Tamandua tetradactyla: one gene and its partners. The protein of the gene in region 2 interacts with the protein of the main gene of each other region in a pairwise test. Links are inferred from orthologs where the notes say so. Each region holds a gene or a part of one and is shown on either strand. Other genes may lie near its edges.

Region 1 (9,527 bases), on a different chromosome or scaffold from region 2:
TTATTGGAATGACCATGATATAGCTTTCCAAGTACCCTTCATTCTCTCAGACAGGCCTAAAACTGCTTTTGGTGACCCAAAAGTGGCAGTTAATGCCTTTTCTGCATTATACGATGCTACCACTAATGATACAACAAAGATCACTTGTTTCAAAGCCTCTCAAAAAAAGACAGACAGAAAGAAAAATAGTGTAGTCATTCCCGTTTAGAGAAATATGCAGGGTGGAAAACCACATTTTGCATACACAAAATGTATTCTAAACCAAGGAAGAGAAACATAAGCATGCAAAATCCAAAAGCAAATAATTAATGTTTATTTTTTGAGAATATTTCATTTTCTGATTTTTATCCAATACTGTTCTGAGCAGATATTAAAATTAGTAATTCCTCTAAACAGTTTAATAGTGAGAAAGCCAATTTTATCCTAAAAATATGCCAGACAAACCCGAAAATTCATAGGCAGCTGTATTAACTGCATTCATAAATAATAAAGCAGAGTGAGAAGAGTTCTAAGCTCCCCTAAACATTCCTGTATCAATCTCTACTACCTTATTCTCAATCCTAACTACATTGTTTTCTACTAAAATTAACAGAAAAAGGTTCATTAATATTTGTCCAACAAAATGCATTTTCCATAACTGACCAAACAACTGGATATAATAAATATAAAACATGATGACTCACGAAATAAAGACAGGTTGTCTTATAGGGATGTCTAGGTCTCTAACTTCTAGGTAAATCTTTTCCTGGCCACTCCCTATAATCTTCACTTAAAAGCTGGGTGGTTAGATTACTAAATTGGCACTGCTATCAGGAACCTATTGCCTGATACCAGAAGCTAAACTCTACACTAAGAGCTTTTTATCCCCAAACAAGTAAAAAACGCAATTCAATGCACACAGTATAAGCTCTCCTTGCACTCAGACAATTTTTTACTTTCCTTTTCCCCCCAACAAAAATTCTACAGATAAAGCTATACATAAAACAGTGGTATCTACATTACTGCATCTGTCTGAATGTTATAATTTTGTAGGTTATCTCTCAACCCAGAGTGCACCCCAATGCACTCTGAGGGCAGAGACTATCTAATTTTCCTATCTCTAACTGCAGGTATATAACAAACACTCAAGAAATAGATTTTGAACAATTGCGCTTTAAAAATTATTATAATTTAGTAAATAAAAATAAAATTAAAGTCTGTAATTACTACATACTAGGCTAATACTTACTACACTAAGTATAAATGACAGTTCAAACTGAATTAAAACACTATAGAGACTGAGACAGAACAGCTTTCTTCTGTTCTCAATTTGGTGACATCCAAAAACCTTCAGTTTAAGAACTAAAGGGCCTCCACAAAGAATAAGATAGCCAATTCCCTTGTGCCTTCTCACCTCCTCTAGCTTTCTTTTCCATTCTTAAATTCACCAGGTGAAGAAAGGAACTCTACTGCAGTTTCACTTTCTTGTTTTCACTCCATCCCCAAACAAGTTAGTTTCTTCTAAGACAAAAGAATGCCTCACACACAACTTCAGATAGACCAATACTGTGCTTTACCAAAATAATTTTTAAAAGCTTCATAAACTACCACCATTTAAAGAAGTAAAAAACAGAAAATACACAAACCACGAAGCATTTCAAGTTACATACGCAGTTTAAAAGTCAAAAATTTAAGTCGACTGACTTAACATAGTAAAATAATGTACTCAATTACTTCTTATTCAAAATCTTATAGTTTAGTATAGCAACCAGTAGAAATAAGATCATCTAATAGAGGGCAAAACTAAATTAGTCAGCAATAACTTCACAGTTGTCTCTTAAAAAAAAATTTTTCAATGATACTAGCATTTTTTAAAAACAGGATGAACCTTGAAAATGACCAATTATCCTTTTGCAGCCATTTTTAAAATAGGGAATTACCACAGCAAGCAGATTAGAGGCCAATGATATGCAAAATAACAAAAACAAAGCCTGTATTTAATAAAACTGTAATGCCTCCCGCCATTAATCCATTCAAAGACATTAACAATTTTAGGGGGCAAAATCACACAACTATTTATGAGATATAATGACCCAGATATAAGTCAAGTGACATTCTAAAAGAACCTTACAAAATAGTTCATCGAATTCACAAAATTTTAATCTCTTACCTCCTGCTCACTCAAGCCTTAATGCACAGAGATAACAAAAAAATATCACTCCAACCACCTATGTGGATATAGGAGATGTCCCTCCAAAATTAAGTATGTAGAAGTCTAAAAACATTTCATAAAGAGGTAATCAAGAAAGCTTAATCTCTAAAGTTCGCCCTAATTCTTCCTTTATTGTGGGTAGAAACGCAAACCAATATATTCTTTTGTAGGAAAAAGTAAGGAAGACAATCTTGAACATTTAATTGTCCCTTTATTCACAGGTGTGGCTTCTTTTGGTCAGAGCGCTCTACTCATCTGATAAATACATAAAAGAAATTTCCTAGAAGCCTTTATCTATGGAAATTAAAAGCATTAGAACCCGATGCTGTGTAGCACTCAAGGAAACTTTCTAAGTTCTCATCGACACAATTCAAGTATCATACAAGCAAAATATAAGTGAATTTAAAACACAAGAATTTTTAAACTCAACATTTAATGACAATGGGTTACAGTTAAACATTTGCAGTTCTGAAGGGAGTAGGAAATATTTAAAAGCTAATTAAGATTTTTTTTTCCTCTTCTAATATTTGAGCCACACATTCTTGAAAAAAGGAATGTAAGATTTCTGGAGTTTTCGTATTTTAAAATATCTTGACCTCCTACCGCAAATAAAATCCTTAATGAAGGGAAAAAAAACCCAAACATTAACCAAAATTTTATTAAGCTTCTCGTTCGAACCTGGAAAATATAAAAAACAGTGCTATTAGGTGTCACATAAAATGCAGCAAAGTTGTGAACATAGGCTTTAGGGCTTAAACGTCATTAACTTGGTTAAACAAGATCTTCTACAAGGATGCTTATCATCAGACACCAAGTTCTAGGCAACTGTGACCTGATACCAGAACAAATCTTGCTTTCTCACTTTCTCTAACCTCTCAAAATATAAAGTGGATCCCTCCGAGTAATTTAACATCTTGCTTTCAAATACAGCATATCTAAAATTCTTTATTTTCAAATTTAAGAATTTCGGGTGAATGTCCGTTCTTTATTCTTAAACACGCCTCTACACCTGATCTCTAAGTGAAAATACCATGGATCTTTTTGTTGCATCCTACCATCGCGCTTCCAAGAACTGCTTTTCGCCCAGGCCACCTATCTTCACAGGAATTTGTATCACAAAGATCAAGAGAGACTGGGCCGCAAAGGCACTGCAAAGCCCTCGATTAACGAGGCCAGCCAGCGTACCGACTTTTAAATACAATTCGTGGGTTCTAAAGTCAAAACACTTGTTGCAAAGATGCTCACATTTAACACGCCTTCTCCCGGTCAGGGAAGGAGGAGGAAGGCGCCACGCCGAAACCTGTCGCAAACGCAAGCAAGAGCGCCCGGGAAGCGGGGCGCGCGGGATACAAAGGGCCGTGAACGCGGCCTTCCATGAGGCGACAGTGCGTGGACAAGGAAACAAAATGGAGCGACAGGAGGAATCGGAGCCCGGACGGCAGCGCCGGGAAAGAGACGGCAGCCGGCGCGAGCCCCTCCGAGGCTTCCTTCTCGGGCCCCGAGGGGGAGGGGATGCGGCGGCGGCCCTTTCTGCCCGCCGCGCACACGCGGCCCCGCCGCCCGGGCCTAGCGCGGAGAGAAGCGCCTGCCGGCCGCCGCCTACAATAAGGAGCAAAGCGGCGGCGAGGGAGGGGTCGGTGGCGGCTGCACCGACGGAGGCCTGCGTCCGTGCCCCGCAGCTACGCGGCCCGCGAATCGACGCGGTAGAACGAGGGGCGAGGGGGGCACCGGAGCCGGAGGAGGGGCCCACAGGCGGCAAGGGCGCACGGTCTGCAGCCGCGCGGCCTCGCGGCCCGCCTCCGGCCCCGGGTCAGCGTCCGGGCCGCAGTGCCGCCCACTTCGGCGGTACCGGCCGGGGCCCTCACGTACCTGGTTGAACTCTTCGCCCACATCCGCATAAATGTCTATATGGTCCACACCGTCCGCCATCTTCCTTTGGGCTCTGCCGCCGCCGCCTCCTGCAGGTCTGCCCGCCTCGGCAGCAGCAGCGGATCTAGCGGCGGGGGCGGGGCGCCCTAACGTCACTTCCGAGGCCGAGAGGCGGAGGCGGGGGCGCCCGGGGGTGGCGGTCGCCTCTGCAGCCTAGCGGCTCCGCTGGCTGAAAAGATGCTATTTGCCGCTGAGGGCAAAAGCGGTTTCTTTTGTGTGTCTGGCTTAGGCCCGCGGGGGAGGGGGAACAAGTCCCTTTTCTTACTCGCGCACCTAGCTTTCCTGTGCATCCCAGTTGTTTCCAGAGGCCGTGTTTTTACATTGCCTCTGGCACACTCAAACGTAGTGGGGTTTTTTTGTTGTTTTAAAATATGTATTTTTGTTTCTTAATTTTCCTTCTATTTCTCACAGCCAGGACGTCTAGAGAGGTAGAAGTTGTCCACGATTAGGTACAGTGTAACCCCTCGGTCATTCTTTAAGCGCCTTGAGAGCAGGAATAATGTCGTTTTCCTTTACCTTCAAAGAACGGCAGAGTTCCATTTCCATCGTAAATGCTAGAAGCCCGTTTGTGGTTGTGTTTAGTCATTTGCATGCTATTCTCTTTGTGTCCCTCTCAATCTCTCATCACTTATCTTCTTTCATTCTCATTTTTTCTTATTTGATCTGCTGTTGGCTTTCACTGGTAGTTCAGATACCTGTAGCTTGAATGCAATTATCGTAGGACAAACATCCAGTAAGGTGGAGAAATCTTAAGGTAAAGAGATTATCTCTTAGAAACATCGAATGTCCAAACGGGAAAGGAACTGAATGGTGTGTGATCAGGTCCAAACATCTCATTTGGCAGGAGCTGGAGACCTAATAGAACCTAAGCAATCTAACCGTGTTGCCACGGATACTTCATTTAAAGGTATTTCTCCAGTTTGAAAACTTCCCCCTACTTTTAACCCATTTTTAAAACCTCCAAATTAGAATGTTTCCTAAGATAAGGACTAGCCAGAAATCTTAAAGTACTAAGCCAAGCCAACATCTGCCCATGGGTTTTGGTTGAGTACAAAATTCTGCTCAGACATTCTATGAACTTGATGACCTTGGTCAAGTTACTGAATCTCTCTCATCTTCTGTCTCATAATCTTTAAAATTGGGGTAATAAAATCTACCTCAGATGGCTGATGGTACCTTAAGGGAGATAAAAGGCAAAAAGTGCCTACCATTGAGAAATACTGATTTCCTTTCTGACTTTGAGTAGTCTTTATAGAAGAAAAAATCACCCAACATAAAGGGTAAGAGCAATTTTTAGAATGGTAGGAAGAATGATGACGACCCAATATGTCCATGCCCTAATACCCAGAACTTGTGAGTATGTTACATTATGTGACAAAAGGAACTTTGCGGGTGTGGTTAATGATTTTGAGATCAACCTCCCCATTTGGAGAATTTTATATTCTTGCAAACAGTGGGGACAACCAAATCAATAGGCTGATCTAGGGGTCACCCCTATAAAACTTATTCCTGCAAAAGGATAGGTTAAGCCTACTTAAAATCAGGCCTAAAAGTCACACCCAGAGAACCTCTTTTGTTGCTCAGATGCAGCCACCCTTTGTAAGCCAACTCGGCAGGTGAACTCAGTGTCCTCCCTCCTATGTGGGACATGACTCCCAGGGGTATAAATTTTCCTGGCAAGGTGGGACAGAACTCCTGGGGTGAGCCAAAACCTGGCATCAAGCAATTGAGAAAGCCTTCTTGACCAAAAGGGGGAAGAGCTAAATGAGGCAATGTTTCAATGGCTGAGAGATTTCAAACAGAGCTGAGAGGTTATCCTGGGGGTTATTCTTATATGTTGATACTTTAACTGGGACATTTTCATGGCCTTAGAACTATAAATTTGTAAGCTAATAATGCCCCATTGTTAAAAGCCAGCCCATCTGGTCTATTGCATTCCACAGCTTTAGTAAACCAAAATAACAAGGAATGGACTCTTCCCTAGATTCTCCAGAAGGAACACAGACCTGCCAAAATCTTGGTCAAGGCCAGACTTTGGACTTCTGGCATCTAGAACTGTAAGATAATAAATTTTCATTGTTTTAAGCCAATAAAGTGGTTATTTGTTACCACGCTAGCAAACTAATACAGGTGGGCTGGAAGAAAGTTCCTCTACAACATTCAACTCCCAAGGATACCTTTGGCTTTCAATTCTAGGTAGACCTGAGTCATAGAATTTCAGAAGTAGGGGAACTTTTAAAATTATCCACCCAGCCCTTTATGACGGTATTGAGGTAAAGGACTTGTTTATAGTCAATTGGCTAATCAGTAGTAAAGCCTACTTTTCTTTACGTTAAGTAGTAAAGTCCTAAGACTCATCAATGCTCTTTGAAGGAGCATTGATTTTTTTTCATCTAAGTACAATGATGACTACAAGAAATTTAATAAAGAGACTAGCATGTTGTAGAAGGTGCTCAATAAGTGGTAGATTAGGTTATTATTAAGAATTTTTTCTTTTAATCTATGGTAATGTTTTAGTTTTTGAACATTGTTGAGTGAGGAAGTACACTATAACATAATTTTTAAATCATCAGAAAGTTAATGAGAGTGAGTGTGGAATTTCCTGGCCAAGAAGTAGAAGAGAATAGGGTCTATACATTCAAACTTCTTTTGCCCTGGTAAGAGAAGGGGAGAATTTGCAGATGCATAAAGATGAATGAGAGGCTGAGCTATGCTTTTGACAGCTGGGAGACAGAATTAGTGATACAGAAGATAGATCAGGAAAAAAAAAAAGGTATCCAAAATGAAGCATGAGGAAACCAAGGATGGAAAATATGAGAGGAGAAATAGTGGCTAGAGAGAGGAGATCTAACATGCATTTAATTGGAGTTGTAGAAGAAGAGAAGAGAGGGTTAGAAGCAATATTTGAAGAGATAATAACTGAGAATTTTCCAAATATCATGAAAAATATCAGACAATATTAGACAAGAAGTCCAGTGAATCCCAAGCACCATAAACTTAAAAATATACACCTAAACACATCATAGAGAAAAAATAGAAAACTCAAATCCAAGAGAAAAATCGTAAAAGCAGCCAGAGAAAAGGGACTGATTCTCTTCAAAGAAGCAGTAGATTGCTTGTAGCAGTGGAATGACTTTTAAATGAATTGAAAGAATATAAACTGCCACCTAGAATTCTATACTCAGGAAGAATATCCTTCAGGAATGAGAGCAAAGTTTCATCCCCCTGTCCCATATTATCAACAGCTCCTTCCAACATGAAAAAGTTAGAATGGGCATGGCCCAAATGCCCGTAAAGAGTGGGAAAAAGATCAAAGGTGATGGTGGAGTTATACAGAGAAGGTTGGGTTCAACAAGTGAGTCTGAGTGCTGAATCATTATACTGATATTTCTATTGGCCTCCAGTACCTTGGAGCAGCTAGAAATAAAAACCAAAAAGGGTGGAGTTGTAACCCATACCAAACTCTGAAATCTGTTCTAAAATTAATTGTTGTGATATACTTTGAAATTTATTGCTTTTATGTTTATATGTTATTTAAAGAAGAGGAGGAGCATAACAGAGAAGATAGGATTTAACAAATGAGTATAACTGCTGAATCATTATATTGATGTTTCTGTTGGTCTCCAGTATCTTGGAGAAGCTAGAAGAAAAAAAAAAATTATGGAACTATAACCCGTACCAAATTTTAAAATCTGTTCTACAACTACTTGTTAAAATGTACTTGGAAATTTATTGCTTTTTTGTATATATGTTATCTTTCACAGTAAAAAAATGTTAAAAAAAAATGAATGAAAGCAAAATAAGATATGCAGAAACTATGAGAATTTTACCACTGGTACACAAGGAAATTTAAAAGATATTTTTTGGATAGAAAGAATTTGATCCCAGATCGAAAATTTGAGATACAGAAAGCAATAAAGAGCAGTGAAAATGTTAAGTATGTTGGTAACTCTGAATAAAGATTGTGTAAAACAGTAATAATACAGACATGTGGGGTTTAAGTACATAAACGTAAAATCACAATTAAATAAGGGAAACCAAGAAGTTATAAGGGAGGTAGATAATGTTTTTTCTGTACATCCGTTTCTTCCCTGAACAGAAGAGCTTTCTCTCTTTTTCCATACACATGGCTATGCAACAATCAACTCCAGGGTTCAGATAATTACTGCTCAAGAAAAATGGTTAATTGTCTTAGTTTCAGTTACAAAACTCTAAAGAGAAAGCAGCTGATTAGATTTTTTTTTTTTTGCTAGAAATCTACTCTCAGTCCAACCAAGTCTGTCTGAGGGGGCGGGTTACACTGTAAAAACATGACTGACAAATTTCATCCTGTAAGTTAGGAAAGGGTGGAGAATTCTCAGAGAAAAAATGTTGCATTGAGCTAGGCAAACACCCCAAAGGATATCTAATACATTTTACCTGTTAGATTGGCAATGCATAAACAAAGGCTATAAATATTTAATACTAGCAATCATTCTGACTTATTCCAAATCAGTCACTTAATATCATCATCTCTGTAGGAACATGACTAGGCTTCCAATGCACTTGAGACCGTAATTTAGCCCTGTGCTCTCCAAACCTTTAAAAATACTCACCTCATCAGTATAACATTTAAAAACAGGTAGCCACAGTACATGTATGTGTATATATATATATACACACACACACACACACACACAATTTAATGTCACTATATGAATTCATTTTATATTAACATACACCATAAATATGCATATAAATATAAAGTTTTAAAGGATGAAATAAACAAAATTTTTAAATGTTTTGCTAATCATCTTGGCCTCATACTATAATTAGTAGTTATATCACTGAATTTCAAATAGTCTTCTTAAAATTTTTGAAATTTGGGGACCTACTCTTGTAAAATATGATTAGATTATCAGTTTTCATACCATATGTGGCTGACAAGAGTTCATAGTAGAAGGAGCACAAGTGTTGTCTCTACCATTTTCTTGATATTAACTTATATTTCCACCATTAATATTGGTTATGGACTTTGGTTTTTAAGACACTTGTGCATTTTTTTGAAGGTTAGTGTAGTTAAAGCTAGAAAATATAATGTCAATCTATGTCACTAGGCTCTCACTGCAAGTGAAGTGTATCATGTACTTGTATGAAGGAATCATTTTTGAATCCTCTGCCTTGTGGAACTCCTCCTTTTCCCTCAGGTTTGCTCATGTACCATAGGAGGCATTACTGAGAGGCAAAGGAAGTTAATGATTCAAAGCCCTTCACTTTCATGAGCCACTTCCACAATTTGGTTGGGACTGCTGTTTCTTTCCACTTCACTTTCCCCTCCATTATATATCCCCTTATGTCCGTTGGAGTCAGAGTGGCAGCAGGCATTTTCTGAAATCTGATTAAGTGAAAGTTGAATGAGGGATACATT
Region 2 (9,469 bases):
TCAAGGAATTCCAGGATGAAGAAGATTAAGTATGTAGTAATGTAATGATCAGACCAAAATTTACAAAGCAAATTTTATAAAGCAGGCCAAAATTTATAAAGCAAAACCCAGAGCGTGAAAACTGAGCATAGCAGCTTAAAATGCACCTTAAACAATCTCACCCATTTAAATCTATCAGTTTTCCACAAATGGACAGAGGGGGAACTGCCACGCAATGACACCCTGTATTTCCTGATCAATCCAGGTGAGTGTTTACCTAGCTGCTAAGAAGCCGAGAGCACAGGTGAGGTGTCCAAGGCAAGGAGAGCAGGAAGGCATCTCCAGAAGCTGACAACTGGCTCGCAGGAATGGAATCTCGGCCTCAAGTTGCCCCTAGAAGTCAATGAAGATCGGCCGCTTTCTTCAATCAAAACTACATCTAGCCAGCACTGAAGAAGGAGAAATATCCGGGGAGGATTTCCCCTTCTGGTCACGTCTTCACAAGCAGTATTAACCCTTTCTCAGGAAATCCCTATCACAAACATCTAAAAAACCTATAGCTAGGTGCATCTCTTCCCCGCATGCTCATCGCTGACACTGCCATTAATTTACCTGTTTATCAAGGAACACGTGGTAAGTGAATTAAGGGAGTGTTTGGGGGGCAAAGTTCAGATCTGTTTTGATAAACGAAAGCAGCCCAGGTTCATCTCATTTTCAGTCACTTTTAAGGCTTGAAAAGCACTGCTGACAACTACATCACAAACGGCGGCACCAAACCCCACACACAATCCGTCCTGAGACCACCGCCACTGCGCTGGGACCAGGCAGGGCTCGAGACCTGTGGGTCCTGAGTAAGCCTCGCTGGGCGTCAGTTTCCTTGTGGGTCAATGGAAAGAGCCAGAAGGATTATGTTGCAGGGCAGCAGGGCTGGCTCATCCCATTACTCAGAAGCCAAAGGATGAGAGGCAACGTTGGCTGCATGAGACTTAAACCTGTTGGCAAGATAAACAAAGCCCAATAAAGGGGAAACCGCCAAAATTAATTGCCCGAAGTGGCGGAGGCAGACTCCACACACATTACTGCTTTGTCCCCGGAGTTGTTAAAACGCCTGTTTTAATTCCGACGTCTGATGGTCACCTGCCAGTGACCCCAGGATCCCACGCAGACCTTTCCAAGGCGATCTTTACCCTCTACGCTGTGCAAACTAAACCGCTCCACACAACAACACGCCAACCGCGCGTGCAGGGGAGGGTGGAGGCAGTGCCTTAAAAGTCACACAGCCAATTCTTCCAGAACCATTTCGGAGTTTCATCGCCCTGAATAAACCGAGGGAGCGAAGCTATTGTGGGAAACTTTGGCTCAGGTGGCTGCAACAGAGTCATGTGAATCTGGGACAGGACACGGAGGCTGGGAGCCGGCACCCAAGCGCCCTTCGCGGAGGCGAGGACCTCCCTGATGCGGCGTGACAGCAGCTTTGAGGGGCGATTCATAAACAGTTCCAATAAAGCCTGTAAGTTCCCGGGCAAAGCGCGGCCTCGCACGGCCTCGGCGCCGGGCCCCGAGATCTGGGCTATTAACTCGCGCGGAGGACACGCGCCGCCCGGCAGCCGCGACCACCCCCCCCATCCTGGCTCCCGGGCTGACCCGCGGGGAGGAGGACTCGCTCCCACGCCGAAGCCCGGGCTCCGTCCCCGCGGCCGGCTCAGGAGCCGGCACCCTCTGCTCACCCGGGGCTTGCCCGGCTCCCCGGGACCCGCTGCCCGGGGCACTTAGCCCCGTCCCCGACGCCTCGGCCGGCCGCGCCCCCGCCCAGACCCTCCGCGGGGCGGCCCCGGTCCCCCAGGGGGTCGGGGCAGGGGGCCGGGCCGGGGAAGGCGGGCAGGAGGGTGCGGAGTTGGAAAGTGCCGAGCCCAGCCCAGCCCGCCCGCGGCCGAGCCGAGGGGGACCCGGTGGGCAGCAGCCAGGCGCCCGGTCCCCCCGAGCCCCAGCCCCAGCGCGGCCCCGCCCCGCCAGCCCCCGCCGCGCTCCCAACTCCGCCGAATAGCCACAAGTTTGCGGCGGCCGCGGCGCCCCCCGCGCCCCCCGCGCCCCGGGCCCGTCCCAGGCGCGCTTACCTCCGGCGGGGGCCGAGCGTGAGGGAGACGCCGGCGCGCGGGGGTCCCGGCGGCGGCCGCGCTCCCCGGCCCGGGCGGCGCCGCTCTTTGTCTGCGCCGCTCCCCTCCTCCCGCCGCCCGCGGCCGCTCGCCCGCTCCCGCGGCGGGGCCGACCGCGCCCGGGGCCCGGGGCCGCCGCTCAGCCTTCGCCGCCGCCGCCGCCTCGGCCCCGCCGCGCCCAGGCCCGGCCGCCCCTCTCTCCGGCCGCTCCGCCGCCCCGCTGGCCGCCGCGGCTCCCGGCGCCACCACCCCGGCGGCGGCGGCCCCTCCCCCGGCGCCCAGCCCCCTCCCCCGCTCCGCTTCCTCCTCCCCGGCCCGCCCCTCGCCGCCGCCTCCCGCCGCTCCTCCCCCGGCCGCGCCGTGACGCCGCCGCAGGCCCCGGGCGCGCGGGGCGGAGGCGGCCGAGACCCACCTGGGGGCGCCGGGCCTCGCCCCAGGCTGGGGCTCCCGGGCCCGGCGGGCGGCGCTGCGCGAGGTGCGCGGCCGGGGATCGGGGGGGGCGGGGAGGGAACTGTCAGCCTGGGCGGCCCGCGCGGGTGCTCGGCGACAGCTGGCCGCCGGTGCGGAGGGGGGACGCGTCCCTGCCGCGGGAGAGGGCTCGCCCGGGGGGCGAGGCGGGTGGGAACTGGGGAGTGAAAATAAGGGCAGTGGCTGCCAGCGCCGAGGGCCCGGAGGGGGGTCGCGCCCGTCCCTGCTCTGTTTGATTTTATCGTGACGCTCTCGCCGTTTGGCCCCCGTCCCCTTCCCGAAAACATTCCCACGGCACTCGCAGGAAGGCAGGCCTGTTGTCCATCAGGAAAGTGACTTTAAAATGTCACTTCCTCCTTGTAATTGCTCTTGGGTATTTTTATATCTTTGCCTTACATCTATTTACTTTCCCAACCAGACAAGTTTTTTTTTTTTTTTTTTTGGTTTTTGTTTTTTGTTTTTTTCTTTTTGCTCCCGCGTCCCTGCTGGGGGCACTTCCTGAGGGCAGGAGAGGAAACCCACCCTCCGCGGCCACCCCTGCACCTTCGCCTGCTCGAGCGGGTAGCAGAATCCGGGGAGTTGCTGCGTGAACGTGGGCGCCGGGAGGAGTTTTCACGCGTGGGGGGACCGGTTCCCCAGCCCAGCTGCGAGTTGGGCCTCACCTCTCTAAACAAACGTGGAAGATGAAATCCCACAAGGAAAGGGAAAGGATGACACATGCACCAGATGCCTGTTCTCCCACCTCCTTCCCATATGGATTCCCAAAGGGAAACCCTAATATTCAAATGATTCTGATATCCTAGCGGGATAGCCTGCAGCCATGTTAGAGAGTGACCCTGAGGCTCCTGGCTTCTCCATGACTATCAAGGCAGCAATAATTTATTCCAGGAGACCAGGCAGTATTATTTGACTCCCTCATCCCCTGTCTTGTCCTGGCAAGAAAGTCCCCAAGGATGGATAACTAGAGTCTGTATACTTTGAAGTCAGACAACTGAATGTCTCTTAATTTTTCTAAGCCTCAGTTTCTTCCTGAAGTGAGGAGATATGTTTACCTGCATCCTTTGCGATGTTGGGGCACACCTCATTAGCAACGTCTGGTAGCAGGGTGGACCACGTCGATTGGGAGATGAGAGAAGGGAAACATTCTGTTTTCATAACCTTGGAAGGTAGCCCCTCAGTCCATCCTTTCCTGAAAACTTTGCTTTACTAACAACTTGCTTTACAAAATGGAAAGCAGAAATCTACTCAGTGGTCTGCCCCAGTTTTAAATTAGTTTACTTGAAATAGGTTTAACAGTGTTGACCCAGTTTTTAGCTTGTTAGCTTGGTAAACTTTCACTGAATCATGTATCTTTGAACATCATCCAAAGCCTCCTTTTCCTCCCCAGACTCTGGCTCAAGGCACCCGGGACATTATCTACAAACCCAGCAGCCTGTAGGTCTTTATCCAAGGTTGTTTTCCAAGCAGGTGGCCTTTCTGCTATTTCATGAAACTCAGCCATCTTTTCATTCATCTAACACGTCTGATTCCCATTCTCTTACATTCCTCTGTATCCTTGTTGGGTGTTTTGTCTTCCCAGCTTCTGACGGTGGCCATATTCCCGACACAGATTTTGGCTTTATGTTCTTATTCTGTCAGGTGCCTTTTTTCCAGAGAGCTAATCATTTTGTGAATGCTTCTGGTCTGGATTTGCCAGGACTAGCTCCCAGATCTGTAGCCCTAGAGAGACCCTTAGCCCTGACCTCGCCTTTACGCCCGTCTCTGGTTTCACCTGCTCATGAGACCCTCCCTGTGGCCAGCAACTCACCTCCTCGAGATCATCCAGGATGAACTTGGCCTCCTTGCCACACCAATCCTTTCTTCCACCACCTTCTCTCGGCCCCCAGGGTAGAAACCTGTCCTTCCTCTAGTTCTGCTCTACCTGCAGAAAGTGAGGGGATTGCCGAGATCACGTGAAGATCCCTTGCCATCTCCACTCCCATGACTCTGAGTCATGTTGATTCTTAAGCATCACTTTGGCCACACCTTTCTACTTTCAATGCTACCGTCCTAATTTTGGAATTATTGATAAGCAAAATGTTCATGTATTGAATATTTTACATTTGTCGTCTTTAATTCAAACACAAAATTGTCTTCCCCATTTTACAGACAAGAAAAATGAAACAGCAAGCCACAGAACTGGAATCAGAACCTGCACATACTGGACTCCAAAACCTGGTGCCACATTCTCAGGTTCTAGGTAGACCCATCTTTTGGGGGGTTTCCATGCAACCCATTACAAGGCCCAAGGTGGCTGAGACATTTCTTTGAAGCCTGAGTTGTATCCAAAAATATCTACCCATTTCTGCATTGACCTCCATCAGTACATCCAGGTTTGTTTTTCTATTAAAATATCCTCACTAACAAAATATTGAAAGGGCCGAAAGTGTAATAAGCCTTTTCCCCCAAAACACATCAGCATCAAGTCCTGCTATTTATCTTTCACAGGCCTCTATGACCTAGTCCTGCTGGAACAATCTAGTTTCTTGGTTCAGCCCCAATATAAGCGATTTGGTTCAGTCCCCCTGGGCTCTCCGCTGTCCCCCATTTAGTCACACCAATTTCTACCTTCTAGAGTGCAGAGTAGCCAGGAGCTCCCTGCCTCACTCCTCACCTATTTAAGGTGTTCCCGGAAGTTCTGGACCCGCCTCCTCTAAGCCCTCCTTGGACTAGATAAAACTTCTGAATTCTCCTCCCAGGTCCAAGGCCTGCTTACAGCCCTGTGACTTGGACAAGTCATTTAAGCATTCTGAGCCTCACATAATAGTAGTACGACTACAAGAATTGTGTGGATTACGTGAGCTAATAGGAAAAATACCTCTTCTGTGTGCTTCGACACCTGGCAACCCCTCATATCTGCCTTTCTGTGCCCTTCTGTCTTGACCCTCAATTCAATTAAACCTTCCTAGTACATTTCTATTTGTAAGGCGTTAAAAGAGGCAATTCGGGAGAAACAGATAAATTGAGCTTTTAATCTCAGAGGAAGGATAAGGCACAATATACAAACAACTACAACGTAAAGCTAAATTTGAAAAGTATTGAACAAAATGAGAGAATCAGGAGAGGCTTTCAAAAGGTGGTGACATTAGAAATGGACCTTGAAAGACAACACAGTAGCAGACTGCCATAACCAGCTACCCTACATCTGAGTCCCTTCCTTGTTTTAGGGAGACCCCCATCTGAATGAGAGGAAGGCAGGGCTCCTTTGAACCCTCCCACTCAGGCCTCTGAAACTTGAGTGTGACAAAGAGGGAGAAGGGTGAAACTCGATTTGCTCTGGCCTCGAAGTCCCAGCACTTCCTTCGAGGGTAGCCAGCCTGCTTAGTTCCCAGCCTGCTTCCTTGCAGCCCCAGCTGCCCTAGCAGCTCTTTGATATGATTCCAGTAAATTTTCATTCTGCTTAGGGTAGCCAGAAGCACTTTCTCTTGCTTGCAATCAAAACCTCTGACTAAGCAACCTGTACAATTTTGAAAGATGGAGACAGATAAGGAGGAAATTCCTAAGAAAGGGGGTAGAGACCCATGAGGACAGAAAGGAGAATGTTGGAGGGTTTGATGGGATCAGACAATGGCCCAGTTTCCTTACATGGAGGAGAGGATGCTCATGAGGTGAAGTCCCAGGAGATAAAGTGTGGGTGTGGGCATCACCTCAGCTTTGTTTCAGGAAAACTCATGTGGTGGGTACACCAAAGAGGTTGAAGGAGGAATGCCCAGATGCAGGACAAACAGAAGTTTGCATTTCTCAGAGAGGTAGGAACCCAGACTAGGGTAGGATGAACAGAAGAGAAAATGGTTTACAAGAGCCTGGGATGAAAAGCTCAAAAGAGATTGACAGATGGCCAGGCAGAGAGGACAGAGGAAAAAGGCATCAAACCTAACATTAGGCTTTGGATATAGGTAGTGCATATGTATAACAGGGCCAAAATCAGCAATAGAAAAGTTGGGGAAACGGGTTGGTGAGGGATTAATGGTTTTGTTTTTGTACAGTTATATTTAATGAATATTTATAGCCAACTGACTACAAGCAGAGTTTCTTCTGGAGGTATGCAAGTGAGCAAGGCACAGTCCCTGCCCTCAAGTGACTTTTTACTAGAAAAGAAACCATTAGTGTTATAATTTCCCACTGGAGTAATGAGCCTTAGTGTTCTTTAATTGCATCATCTATCTTAGTGTTGAGATAAACACCCTGCAGGCAGGGAACAAGTCAGAGTTTTCCATTCAGAACCCCAGCACCTTTTCCTCTACAGAGTGCCTAGCAGAGACTTAATAAACTTTGATGATGAATGGAAAGTCCACATTTTTTTACGAGCTCACCAAAGGGGACAGAACTTCAAACAATAGTGAAGAGACCTACAAGACTTCATGAACCCATAAAACAATTTCAGAACGAATACTGGTGGACTGGCAGGTTTCAGTATTTCATTTTATTTACATTAGCTTAGAGAGAAGGGGCGGAAACATTGAGTCTTCAGATAAAATGAAGATTTCTTACCCAAAATACAAAGCACCTTCTCACCGTCTCTTCAGACCAAAGAGGAGGCAAGCTAGAAACCCATGGAACCCATCTCTCAGTTTCTGGAAGAATGAAATCCAAAAAGCCCATAATTACACATTAAAAGTTCATCCATCTCAAAACAACAGCTACCACAAAGGGCCAGTCTGTATATAAATCTACTCTTTCCAGGTCTGGAATTATGATCTGTACTTCAGGAAATGGGTGTGCTCATCTTATTGTTTAAATAAATGAAAAAGATAAAATAATACACTATAAAGTCAAGTGCAATTATGGGCAAAAGAATTATAGGAATAAAAGTGTACTGAAATACTAACTGATCTCTCTGTGCATTTTGTCAAGAAACACAGATTGTTGATAGACACGCACAACGTAACTTTTAAACTTGAGGACTGCTTGTACTGAAAAATAAAAAATCAAACTTTAAATTATTTTAATTAGCAGCAGGGCAAAAGTAATTTTAGAGTGGACTAATTTTGAGAGTGCTCCTACAACTTCAGAAAAGCTAAGAGGATTTTACTCGAATTTCCATTTTGAAATCTACCTTTAGGCGAATATCACATCTGAAATATTTGTTAGATACAATAAACCCTCAATTAATCCAAATGCCTCAGGAAGGAGCTGTTCCCTTAAATTAAATTTTCATTTCTGTTAAGGTTTAACCAGAAAGGCCCTTTAGCTCAAAAACAAGTTGAAATTTTTTCCTAAAATACCACAAGCTGATATCTCACCATAGAAAGCACAGTACAGTAAATGAAATGTCTTTTTTTATTTTATTTTATTTTGATGTTTGGATGCCTTATAAGGCCTAAGGGCCATCATTCTGAACATGCAATCTCATTTTACAGGATTAAGCACATTGAAGATTGCGTGGAAACTAAACTAAATTGGAGCCACGTGCTAGAATGACTTTTTAAAAACCTAATACAGTTGTTTTCCCGCATCTGCTACTTTCTTCCAATAGTGGAGTGCTGAGTAGAGAGATTTCAGTTAATAAGGTTTCCAGTTATTAAAGTCTAGTTATTTAATGCTTTAATGTTTTATATGCATATTTAAAAGGGAAGACTTCTAAAATATAAAGCAGTTCTCAACTGGGGTATTGGTGAATAGTTTGTTGCTTTTATTAATCACATTCTTCATTAAAGAACAAATACGTTAGAAGGAAAGTATGTTTTAGAGAGGTTGGCTGGCACACCTTCACGGTGCTGTTTGAGGTACCCTGGTGGGGACAGCCCTCTTCTTCTGGGAGTCTGATGGAGACTTTTAAACTGGAAATCTGTGTTTGCAGAATAATCCTGTGCAATTTGATACCTGCTGATATTCAAACAGCACCCTCCCTTCATCTTTCAGTAAACTCCTTCCTAGAAGATGTGTGCATTTGTCACCAGTAAACTCCTTCCTAGAAGATGTGTGCATTTGTCACCGCTCTGCTAAGGCACTCATCCAAAAATGCCTTGATTTGGGGTCATCTGTGTCCATAGGGTGTAGAAAGGGGACACACTGACCAAGGGCAAGGGTGACTTCTTTGGATTCCCGCAGATCTCCTTGCTCACTTCTCAAAGTTGGCAAGTTAATAATGGTTTCCTGAAGGAATGGTGCAGGATACAAATTGATTTAAGAATGTTGGTGTGCTGGTTTGAAACTGTTATGCACCCCAGGAACGCCGTGTTCTTTTCATCCTAATCCAGTCTCATGGGGGCAGGACCACTGTTTGGATGAGATCTCTTGATTAGGTTGTTTCCATGGAAATGTGAGTCCACCCATTCAAGGTGGGTCTTATTAACTTACTGGAGTCCTTTCGGAGGGGAACATTTTGCAGAAAGTTCAGACACAGAGAGGAGAAAGAAGAAACCAGGGGACAGATGTTCAGAGATGTTTGGAGACAAAGAAAAGCTCAGAGAGGAGGCCACTGGAACCAAGAGCTGAAAGCAACACAGGAGCATAGGGCCAACAGACACCGTCCTGTGCCTTCCGATGTGGCAGAGGAACCCCAGACGAGATTAACCTTTTCTGTGTGAAGGTATGCTTTTGTCGATGCCTTAATTTGGACATTTTCATTACCTCAGAATTGTAACTTGTCGCTTCATGAATCCCCTTTGTAGTAGCCAATCCATTTTTTGTATATTGCATCCTGCATCTTTAGCAAACTGAAACAAATGGCTTTTAAAAATGCAAATATTTTTAATGATGTGCTATTGTAAGTTATTATTAACATTGTAATTATTCAAAGCTATCATTCATTGCATTCTTTACCATTTACCAAGCACATTATCTAATCCTCACAACCCAGTGAAGTAGGCATGGTCATCAATAAAGCT
Region 3 (9,777 bases), on a different chromosome or scaffold from region 2:
TGAATGCATACGTTTAAATGAATTTGTGGCATATGAGTGTGAATATATGAGAGAATATGTTTGGACAGATATATCAGTATATATCTGTAAACACAGAGTTAATATGTTAACTTGTGTATAGGTTACACGAGTATATGCATGACTAGGGAAGTAAGTATGTACAAGTGTATGTGACTGTGACCATGTGTGGAAAGGAGCATGGGTGGCATGCAGAGCCAACTGGTGAATGGCAGCCTGCTTTTCTCCCCTGACTGAAGAGCAGGGAGAGGAGAGGCATATTATCTGACTCTACCTGATCTGTTCCTTTCTTTCTCCATTAAGTTAACTCCCCCCCACAACCAAGTCAAAAGACACTGAGAGCCAGGAGAGTGTCCAGTCAGGGGGGAGGAGCTGGAAGCTGGGGGTAGGGGGCGAGCAGGACCCAGGGAAGAGCCTTAGGCCTCTCTGCAGTGCCCAGGGCTGAGACCACCCCACAAGTCCTGGCCCTGGGCAAGGCCCTTAGAACCCTCCCTCCTTCAACTCTGCTCCCTCTTCAGGGCCACTCCAGGGCATGGAGAGAACAGTGAGCAAGAGGGGTCTTAGGGGGCCTTGGGGGCTGGTACCTCTGTCTGCATCTCCCCACTTTGGTGAGCACTGAGAAAGTGAAAACTAAAGAGAAACACAGGGGCCCAAAACACAAGAGACAAAGACTTAGAGAGGCTGGTAGGGTCAGGCAGACAAGGAGACAGGCAGACCCTGTGAGCCAGGGCCCCTGAACCCCACGGAGTTGTGGGGTCCGGAACCCAGAGGGACCTAAAGCCAGACCCTGGGAACTGGACGCTCAGGAGAGCCAGGCATCTGGAAAGCCAGGCCAGGCCACCGGCTCCCGCTCTTGGGGCGGAGAGAGAAGGAGGGGCAAACCGAGGCTCCATTTTGAGAAATGCGTTTGTGGCTGTGGGGAAAGGGAACCCCCGGTCCTCCCCACCTTTCCAGCGTTCCCTGAGTAATCGCTCTGGCCTAGGGACCCCCCTTCAGTGGGCTGGGGTTCAACCAAGCCCAAAGAGGTCCCGGCTCCCACAGACCTGACTTGGGGGCTGAAGAGTTGGGGAAGGTCTCCCCCGACCCAAACTCCAGAGACCAGCCAAGCGGTATCAAGTCTGGGATCACGAGTTCCCATCCGGCGACTGGAAACCGGGCGCCCCCAACCCACCCTCAACAGTCCCCAAAGCCCTCCCTTCCCCGTCCCTTCCCCGTCCCCTCCCCTGGCTTCCATAAAGTAGGGGCAGCTGTGGAATGCTGGCTCCCCACTGGACCTCCACCGCGGAGAAGTTCGGGGCGCCTCCTCTCACCTCCCAGCCCCGGCCCCCCCTCACCTCCGCCGCGCTGCTCCATGCTCAGCCCCGGGCCGCCCCCAGCGCTCCACCAGCGCGCAGCGCGGCTCCAGCCCGCGCACGGCCAGTCGGGCGGCCGGGCCCGACCCGGCCCCGGCCCCTCCTCCGCGGCGCCCCCCCACCCGCGGGGCCAGCCGGCGCCCGGGCCGAGTGGGCGGGGCAGCGCGGGGGAGGGGTCCGACGGGCGGCCCCGCCCCCAGACGCCGACACGCGCAAGCACCCCCACGTCACGCGTGTCCAACGGGGCACACGCAGGAGCAGCACAGCGGGAATCAGGATCCCTCCCTCTGAGGCTTGGTGTCTATGGTCCTGGGGGTTCGGTGGGCTCAGGACTCGGCAGCGGCGGGTCACTCTCTCCCCACGCTAGGGCCCCAGGACCGGCGGCAGCTGGTCATTGTTCCAGCACAAAGGGCCAGGCGTGACGGCGGCCACCCCGCCCCCATTCGCTTCTCTAGTCGAAGCCTCTCCCCAAGACACACTCTCCTGCTTCAGAGTCCAGACGGGGAGGTCGAGGGTCCGCTGCAAACCCCCTTCCTGCTGTCGAGGCCCTATGCCCCGGCACCAGTCTGGGGGCGAGGCTCGGTCCGTGCCTGCCCCACCCCCAGCGGGTTGAGGGCGGTACACTTGGATTGGGGGAAGCGACGCCACCTGGCGGCTGGTTGGGAGAACACACCCAGCCCCCTCCACCCGCCGTGCGGGCCCCCATCTCTCTCTCCAGAACTGCCCTCTCCCGCCCCAGCCCAGATCTGCGCCCGGCGAGACTCCGTGCTTTCCAGCCTTCTTTCGGAGCCAAGAAGCTTGAAAAGAGGCGGCCCTTGCCCCCCCCCCCCCACACACACACAGTTACTGGGGCGACCCGTTCCAAACCTACAGTCCAAACCTACACCATCCTCACAGGAGACCACATTCCAGTCTTTCCCAGGGTCACAAATACTCTCAGCCTCTCGCAAATAAACACAATCTTTTTAACACCCACACACTGTCTCATCCATCATTCCGTCTCATGTTCCTTCTCCCAGTAATCTTTCAGGCCAACTCACACACAGACACAGTGTCACACATCTTGTTTGGCACAGTCTTCACGCCCAGTCACAAATACATTTGGTGTCCCAAGCATCTTCCACACATTGACAGGCACTCACAGTTGCTCTCACAGCTTCTCACACATACACATCATGTTTCACAAACATATCCTTCCACACGGACTTTCCCATAGGGGTCTCTACGACCTGGTCAGGTCAGCTGATGTCCGCACCCTGGGCAAGGACAGTCCCCTCCCCGCCCCCCAGCGCCAAGGCCTAGCTAGGGCTCGCTCCGCCCCAGGAAGGAGCACCCCCCCCCCCCCCCATCGCGCCGCAGGCCACAGCCCTGGCCGGGCTCTCAATTCTATTTTTAGCTTTATGGAAAGGGTTGTTTTTCTTTCTTTTTCCCTGGAAAGGGAAACACAGCCCAGCCACCCTCAGGCTCACCCCAGACCCTCAGCCACGCAAGAACCAGACGGAGGCTCTCTCCCCACTGGAGACCACCTCTTCTGGCCTTGCCCTGATCCCAGCCTCCCGGGACATTTAGAGCCTCCGCCCCTTCCCGGCAGCCGGCGCAGAAACTCAGGCAGCAGTTGGGCTCAGCGTGTGCGCGTGGAGGGGGGAGGGGGTATAAAGCCGCTGCCCACTCCCTCATTCCCCGGGCTGGAGGCTGGCGCTCATCCTCCCTTCTACTAAAACGGTGGTATTGAGGGGTGTTTACACTCCTGCGTTCACTGGGCGGGGGTGGGGACTTCCAATCTTACAGGGGCGGGCATTCTGTTCTACATCGCGGGGAGGAGCTCCCAGTCCTGCAAGAGGGCGGTGGGTTGGTAGGAAGGTGATCCACAGATGCTCAGACAGCTGCTCCCTGGGCTGGAGGGAAGGGACGGCCATCAAGGCGAAGGCCCCCTCCGATACCTTCAGGGATGAGACACCACGAACGTGTCCTGGGGAGGGAGGGCGAGGAGCCCAGGTAACCCCATCCCAGCCCTACGTTCCCGGTCCTCCGAGCCACCCTGCCTCCAGGGGGCGATGTGTCCCTTTTCTAGGGAAAGGCTTATCATTGCTCCAGGTTCGAGGCGTAGAATGGAATACAGCCCCGAGTGGGACCTTGCAGACTCGCCCCGAACTGAAAGAGGCGGTCCCGGGCCTTCGGCGGGGGTGGGGGAAGCACAGCCACTAGGCTGCGCCGCGATCACGTGCTCGGCGCCTGTTTACGTCTTAGTCTTCACCTGCAGGCGGCCGGGAAGCAGGAACCTCCGGATGCGTCCCACCCGACCCGCCCCCGTCGGCGGTCACGGGGCGGCCTCTTCCCCCTACCCCCGCCAAGTACGCGACAGCAGAGTGCCCTGCCCGCCGGGGGTCCGCGCGGGCCGGTGGCGTGCCCCTGCAACTGCAAGGGTAACCCACTGGCTGCATCCGTTCTTGAGTGCACGTGTGTTCGTGTGTCCCAAGTACGTGCGGGGATCGGTGTGCACACGTGTGTGGGCCCGCCAGTGTGAGTATCTGCGTCGCCTCCTATTCAGACTCCCTCTCCTGCGTCCCACAGGAGGAGGACCCCACTCCGCCCCTATCTCCAGCTTCCCAGACGGGGAAAGTTCGCTCCGGAGCGGGGTGTGGGAGGCGGGTATTCCCCCACCACTCACCAAACGCCAGCTGCGCCGCAGCTCCAGCTCCGGCCCCGCGCCAGCTCCAGCGCGGGCACCTCCTCGCGGCCGACCCGCCGGCTCCCAAGCCTGTTCTGGACTCCCGGCTCCCGGCTCCCTTCGCCCTCCTGGCCGGGCCGGGTGGAGCGGGGCGGAGCGGTGGAGGCCGCGCCCCTGACTCAGGGAGGGGAGTGGTCTGCCCAGCACCCCTTCTACAGCCGACCCTGTAGTTGGGCAGTGCCTCGAGTTTGCCCTTTAGGTCTCTGACTTCACCGGCAACCTGGACTTGGCTTTGACCTGGGGAAGGGGCGAACAGCACGTGATGGAGAGCTAAACGACCTGGCTGTCCTAACAACGCTGATTATGGGACTTGAGTCTGCCACCCCACCCCTCTCCTTAGAGAGCCCAACAGGGTCTACTCTCAGCCCACTCCCCAAACACAGGAAAATCCCTGAGAAGCAGACAAAGAAAGCTCGGGTTTCACCAAAAACAGCCCCCCTCCCCCCTTGGGGCTGCCCAAGCAGAACAGAGCACCACCCCCTTCCCCGAAGTAGGTGCCTGCCCAGGTGAGGTCTGCCAGTTCTAGCCTCCACAGGGCATGGCCAAGCTTCCCTTAGACTCATAAAGTCCCACCCACAGGCACAAACAGGAAGTTGGCCTTTATCTTAGGGAGGCACTAAGTGCTCCCTCTCTCCATACACCCAAAGCAGCGGATGGGAAGGCATAGACTATAATGTCTGCAGGAATCTGGGCTATATTTACAACCTGAGTAGTTGGGCTGCAGGAGACTGGTGAGTGTAGTCCATTCTCAAACTCATCTACATTTGAGAGTAAGCTGCTGGAGGACCAAAACTGTTCCCTCACCGTGGAGACCCCTCCTCCCAGCCAAGTGTGACACATACAGACACTGTAATCTGAGGACAAAGCTGCAGATCCACCTGGACCCTGCTTGACCAGGCCATTCTTGAGCAATCGGGGAGATTCTTAGCATTCACTTGGAGGTAGACAGAGTCCAGCCCTATCCCAGGTAATATGCCTTAATGTACTTTGAATGGGTGTGTAGACAGTGACTCCCAGGGACCTTACACAGGATGCAGAGAGCCCCTCTAGCCCGAATTCCCACTAGCCCACTGGAAACTCCTGAAGGATTTCCTGAAAACACACCATGTGTTCAAGGGGGACCAGGATGTGAAACCTCTGTCTTTGTAGGTAGGACTGACCTGGAGTTCTGAGCATCTGGCAGGCATAGCTGACATCCAGTGTTTGAGTTTGGATGAGGCCTGGGCCAGCCAGCGGCTGGGAATGATTACTGCAGGATTAGGGAGGCCTGGCTCCAGCCAGTCTGGGAGAGAGACCCCCAAGAAGGGAGGCCCTGGAGGAGCTACCTCCCAAGTTTTGCCCCACAGAGAACAGCTTTGCAGCAGCTTTGCTCTGGAGTCTGTTTCAGGAGAGGTATCTGGCCACAGCTGTCACACACTATAGACCAGAGACCTCAGGCCTTCCATGGAGTCCCAGGAGCACGCTCTTAAGCTGACAGGGAGAACTTTACATGGCAGCCCTGCCTCCAGAGAGCAGGAAACCTTTCTCCCACCTAAATAAAAGGCTTCTCCCCAGCCCCCTCTGAACATCTTGCATTCTCCCCCACGCTTTCAAAAACAAATGGGCAACTCTAAAGAGAAACTGGATACAGAAAGTGAGACAGGAAAATGTCATCATTTAGGAATATTTCTGACAGGATCTCAGTTCACCTGTTTGCAATTTCCTGCAGGGCTTGTTAAAAATGAGGGTTCTTAAACCCCTCCCCAAACCTCTGGAATTAGAAATGTATGTGTAGCAGGAAGTGAGGGTGTGGGGCGTGTGGGCCTGGGTTCTGAATTTTTAACAAGATCCCCAGGAGTACTGATGCACACTAACATAAGAAAAACACCAAGAGGGTACAAGGAATAGGGAAATGACGGCAAGATAAGAATATGCTGGGTCTAAGTGAACACTGAAGGTGGTCAGCGAGTGCCTCACATCACAGAGAACAGCTGACCAGACAGGGTCTGAGTAGCCCAGAGACCCACTCCTCTGCTACGAACAACATGGAGTTCCTCAAGGAGTTAGGGATAAGGACACACTTGTCTTCCCTAGGCCCAGAAGAGCTATATGGGTAGGGGTGAGGGTCTTTCAATGCCCCTTCTCCCTTGGGAGCCCACAACTCAAAGGCCAGGAGTGGGGAAGGAGATCCCCTCCCCTCCACTCCCAATTCAAAGTGTGAGTCCAGTTATACACTGGGGACACCTGGTGGACAGAAAAAAAAAAAAGCACAGAAACAAAGGCAGTGAAAAACATTCTTTTTCAGTAAAATTGGAAAAGGCTTTATAAAAAGTCATAACTGCATCCACTCCAGCACTACTGTTTGTCTAAAGCAGCTTACCTGGAATTAGTGCCCAGGTGGCAGGCTCTTTGGGTTCATGGCTGCTGCCAAGCAATCCAGGGGAGGTAGCTCCTACCTGTTGGGTCCTGATAGTCCAGGGCCAAGGACCTAGGATGCCAATTCTAGCTAATGCCAGCTCATGACAGCCCCACAAAGTGGGGAACGGGGGGGGCCTAGTACCTACCATATCATGCTTCAGCTCTGAAAGCCTAGGCGGGAGCTGCATCAAGGAGCCTCTTAATCCCCTCCAAGATGAGGGGCCTGACACCACTTTCTTGAACTCAATTTGCTCATTCCCAACCCAGGGCCTTTGTATTTCTTCTTCCTTCTATCTGGAGCCTGCTTCCTCTAGGTATTCACATGACTTGCTCCTTCCCGTTCTTCAGACCCCAACTCAAGTGTCCTCTGCTCAGAGGTCTTTTCAGATCACTTAACTGAAACTAGCCTGTGAACATTCTTTATCACATAGCTGTTTTTTAAATTTTCTTTATAGCATTTCCATTATCTAAAATTATGTTCTCTGTTCTTTTATTCATTGTTTATCTTAGCTCCTGCACCAGAATGCAGGTTCTACAGAATAGGACCACATCTGTCTTGCTCAGTGATGTATTCCCACGACCTAAAGCAAAGTCTGCAGAATTGAACGCTCTTCCTATGGAATCCTGCCCTAGCCTAGGCCCTTGAGACTGAGAGGAGCCCATAGCTTCAGGACCACAGCACAGAGGCAGCCCTCACAGAGGGCCAAGAAAGAGTCTATGTTCCAACTTGTCCCATCAGGCTCACTTTAGTGTCCAGCTTTGTACACCCTTCACCTAGAAGGCTGGGGGGTGTCTGGCTGATAGGGGTTGGAGGCCTGACCCGGGCCAGCCTCAGAGTTCTGGGGCACAGCCCCCTTTTTGCCAGACGAAGGCTTTTTGGCCACTAGCCCATTGTCATCCTTGATCTTCTTGAGCCGGACCTTGCTCTTTGGTGGGATGGAGAAGGTGAGGGAGCTCTTGTTAAACTCAAGTGGAAAGACACCTACATCTCCATCAAAGCGGTTCTTGGACACCTGCAGATACCGCTTCCCTGGTCCAGTTACCAGCTTCCTGTCCTGCAGGATTAGAACATTGTCTGCTTCCTGGCTTGCCTGGAGGTTGGCGGGGAGGGGGGTGCAGGGAGCAGAAGAAAGAAGGAAGGGGTGAAAAGACATATGAGAGAGGCAGAAATTACCACAGCTTTCTGAACTATTGACCTACATGCTAGGACTACTCTAATCTTTTCAGTTCTTTGACAAGGAGTTCACTGTGGGCTAAAGACTTTGTACCTGATGTTTTCCTCTGCTTATAACCCTTCTTCTCCATAGCCAGCCACCCCACCCAACCCCGGCATCTCCTCGTCATTCAGGTCTTGTTTTAAATGTCCCATGCTTCATCTGAGACCATTCTTCTACTACTACCCTAAATGAAGAAAGTGCCACCATTTTTCGACTGCTGCATTTTTCTTCTCCCCAGCAACTTGTTTGTTCCATTGTGGCATGTAATTTGTGCTCCTCGCCCTGTATTCCCTGTGCCCCACCCAGGCCTGGCATATAACAGGCACTCAGTATCCACAGAAAGTTCCACAATCACCCTGGTCCTGCTGCCCAGAATGCCCATTTCTTTAATTATCTAACATTTACTGTCCATCAAAATTCAACCAAAACTTCAGTGACACCTCCTCTGAGAAGTCTCCCCAGATGTCCCAGGCAGACTCAGATGTCTTTTTGTTCTCCAAATATGTGTGCTGACTATCACAGCACTTATTGGTATTGAGTTGTAATCATCACCTTATTCTTTTCCTCACTAGAGGATGTGAGCTGGAGTAGAAGAACGACACACTATTATTATCAGCTTTTGTATTTGAGTACATATATATTCCTAATGTCGGTCCCATCTGTTAAATGGATAGTCAACGAGGTTATTTAAGGCTGACTGTGGGCTATCCCTGGTCATACTTGACCACTCTGTTCACCAAAGTTTGGTTCTCTCCAAAGATCACTCACTTTGGCCGAGCCAAAAATGGATGCTGTCTGCAGTTCCTTGTCATCATCCTCCTTCCGGGGGTGTATGACCAGTGTCACGTGGCAATTATTGTCTGTAGCAAACTTCCGAAAGGCCCCAATGACATAGTCTTGAGCTGCAATCCTGCTCCCAAAAAAGCAAAAAAAGTTACTGGACAAGAGGAGAGATCAGATGGAATCAAGAGGCTGTTCTGGAGGCTGCTCTTACAGAAGCTTCAGTTAGGCAGTCCTAATGGCCATGGTTTGCTAAACCCCAATTCACATCACTCTGTTGACTGTTAAGAACACCTAGGGCTCAAACTGAGACTCTATAAAGGTTTCATGCACTAGATTTCTGGAACATATAATTCCCGGAGGGTTCCTAGATCAGATAAATCTGGAAACCAAGAGGAACCAGCCTCTCCAGGATTATCAATTAATTACATCACCCTATCCTTTAGTGTGGACACCCTTTCTGAACATGAAAAAGTTAGAACAAGCATTCCCCAAAGATCCCTATAGATTGGGAGAGGGATTAAAGGAGATAGGGGAGGTATAACAGAGAAAATGGGATTTAACGAATGAGTATGGCTGCTGAATCACTATATTAATATTCCTTCTAGCCCCCAGTGTTTTGGAGCAGCTAGAAGGAATAATCTGAGATGATGGAATGGTAGCCCATGATAAACTCTGGGATCTGTTCTGTAACTACCTGTTGAAGTGTGCTTTGAAAATTATTGCTTTTTTTCTTTTTTTGCTTTGTATATATGTTATACAATAAAAAAAGTGTTTAAAAGAGTTTTATGGGCACAGACAGAACGACAAGAACATGCATACTCTCTTCACTCTTTCTCATCCCCCCAAACTGTCACAACCCCATTCTACCTTACTCATACTCGGATCCTGTCCTTTCCTGCTGTTACACTCCACATCTATAAAGACAGAAGTGCACGTAGGGTGCCATGAGCCTGCATACATCTCAGAAAACAAGAGAGGACAGTGTGTGTGCCAAGAGACCAGCTGCCCCAGAAGACATGATTGTTCAAGTGGTTTCCAGTTAGGGAAGAGGGGGATTTCACCTGTCTGCGGACAGCTGCTCGTGACCCATCATGAACTGCAGATTGTCGATGACCACATGACAAATGTCATAGACGTAGACTGCATGTTGCATTGTGCTTATGACAGTCCTGGGAAGAGGAAAAGACAATGGATTCAAGAGTCGATCAGAAGTACTCTCCAGACCATCCCAGGCAGAAGAGTCAGCACCCTGAGAACTCTTTTGGGGGCTGTTCTCCTGTCC

The links. The genes of interacting proteins can lie anywhere in the genome.
Region 1: the proteins of NCK2 (region 2) and CPSF6 interact in binary tests that used the Homo sapiens proteins (3 or more experiments, as listed by UniProt). The two-hybrid records come from large-scale screens. The link is inferred for Tamandua tetradactyla from reciprocal best matches to the Homo sapiens genes NCK2 and CPSF6.
Region 3: the proteins of NCK2 (region 2) and LZTS2 interact in binary tests that used the Homo sapiens proteins (3 or more experiments, as listed by UniProt). The two-hybrid records come from large-scale screens. The link is inferred for Tamandua tetradactyla from reciprocal best matches to the Homo sapiens genes NCK2 and LZTS2.

What each region holds. Positions count from the first base shown.
Region 1 is NC_135333.1:137,452,465-137,461,991, reverse strand, and holds the start of CPSF6 (cleavage and polyadenylation specificity factor subunit 6), read right to left. Parts: upstream 4,196-9,527; 5' UTR 4,121-4,195; coding exon 4,061-4,120; intron 1-4,060. UniProt on the Homo sapiens protein: Component of the cleavage factor Im (CFIm) complex that functions as an activator of the pre-mRNA 3'-end cleavage and polyadenylation processing required for the maturation of pre-mRNA into functional mRNAs.
Region 2 is NC_135343.1:70,554,140-70,563,608, reverse strand, and holds the start of NCK2 (cytoplasmic protein NCK2), read right to left. Parts: upstream 4,507-9,469; 5' UTR 4,408-4,506; intron 2,596-4,407; exon of another isoform or gene 2,545-2,595; intron 2,165-2,544; exon of another isoform or gene 2,094-2,164; intron 1,548-2,093; exon of another isoform or gene 1-1,547. UniProt on the Homo sapiens protein: Adapter protein which associates with tyrosine-phosphorylated growth factor receptors or their cellular substrates. Maintains low levels of EIF2S1 phosphorylation by promoting its dephosphorylation by PP1.
Region 3 is NC_135339.1:62,549,076-62,558,852, reverse strand, and holds the start of LZTS2 (leucine zipper putative tumor suppressor 2), read right to left. Parts: upstream 4,196-9,777; 5' UTR 4,039-4,195; exon of another isoform or gene 3,631-4,038; intron 3,366-3,630; exon of another isoform or gene 2,744-3,365; intron 2,643-2,743; exon of another isoform or gene 2,600-2,642; intron 2,004-2,599; exon of another isoform or gene 1,850-2,003; intron 1,463-1,849; exon of another isoform or gene 1,353-1,462; intron 1,189-1,352; exon of another isoform or gene 1,062-1,188; intron 1-1,061. Other genes in the region: TWNK (twinkle mtDNA helicase), read right to left, coding at 7,266-7,586, 8,481-8,622, 9,557-9,664. UniProt on the Homo sapiens protein: Negative regulator of katanin-mediated microtubule severing and release from the centrosome. Required for central spindle formation and the completion of cytokinesis.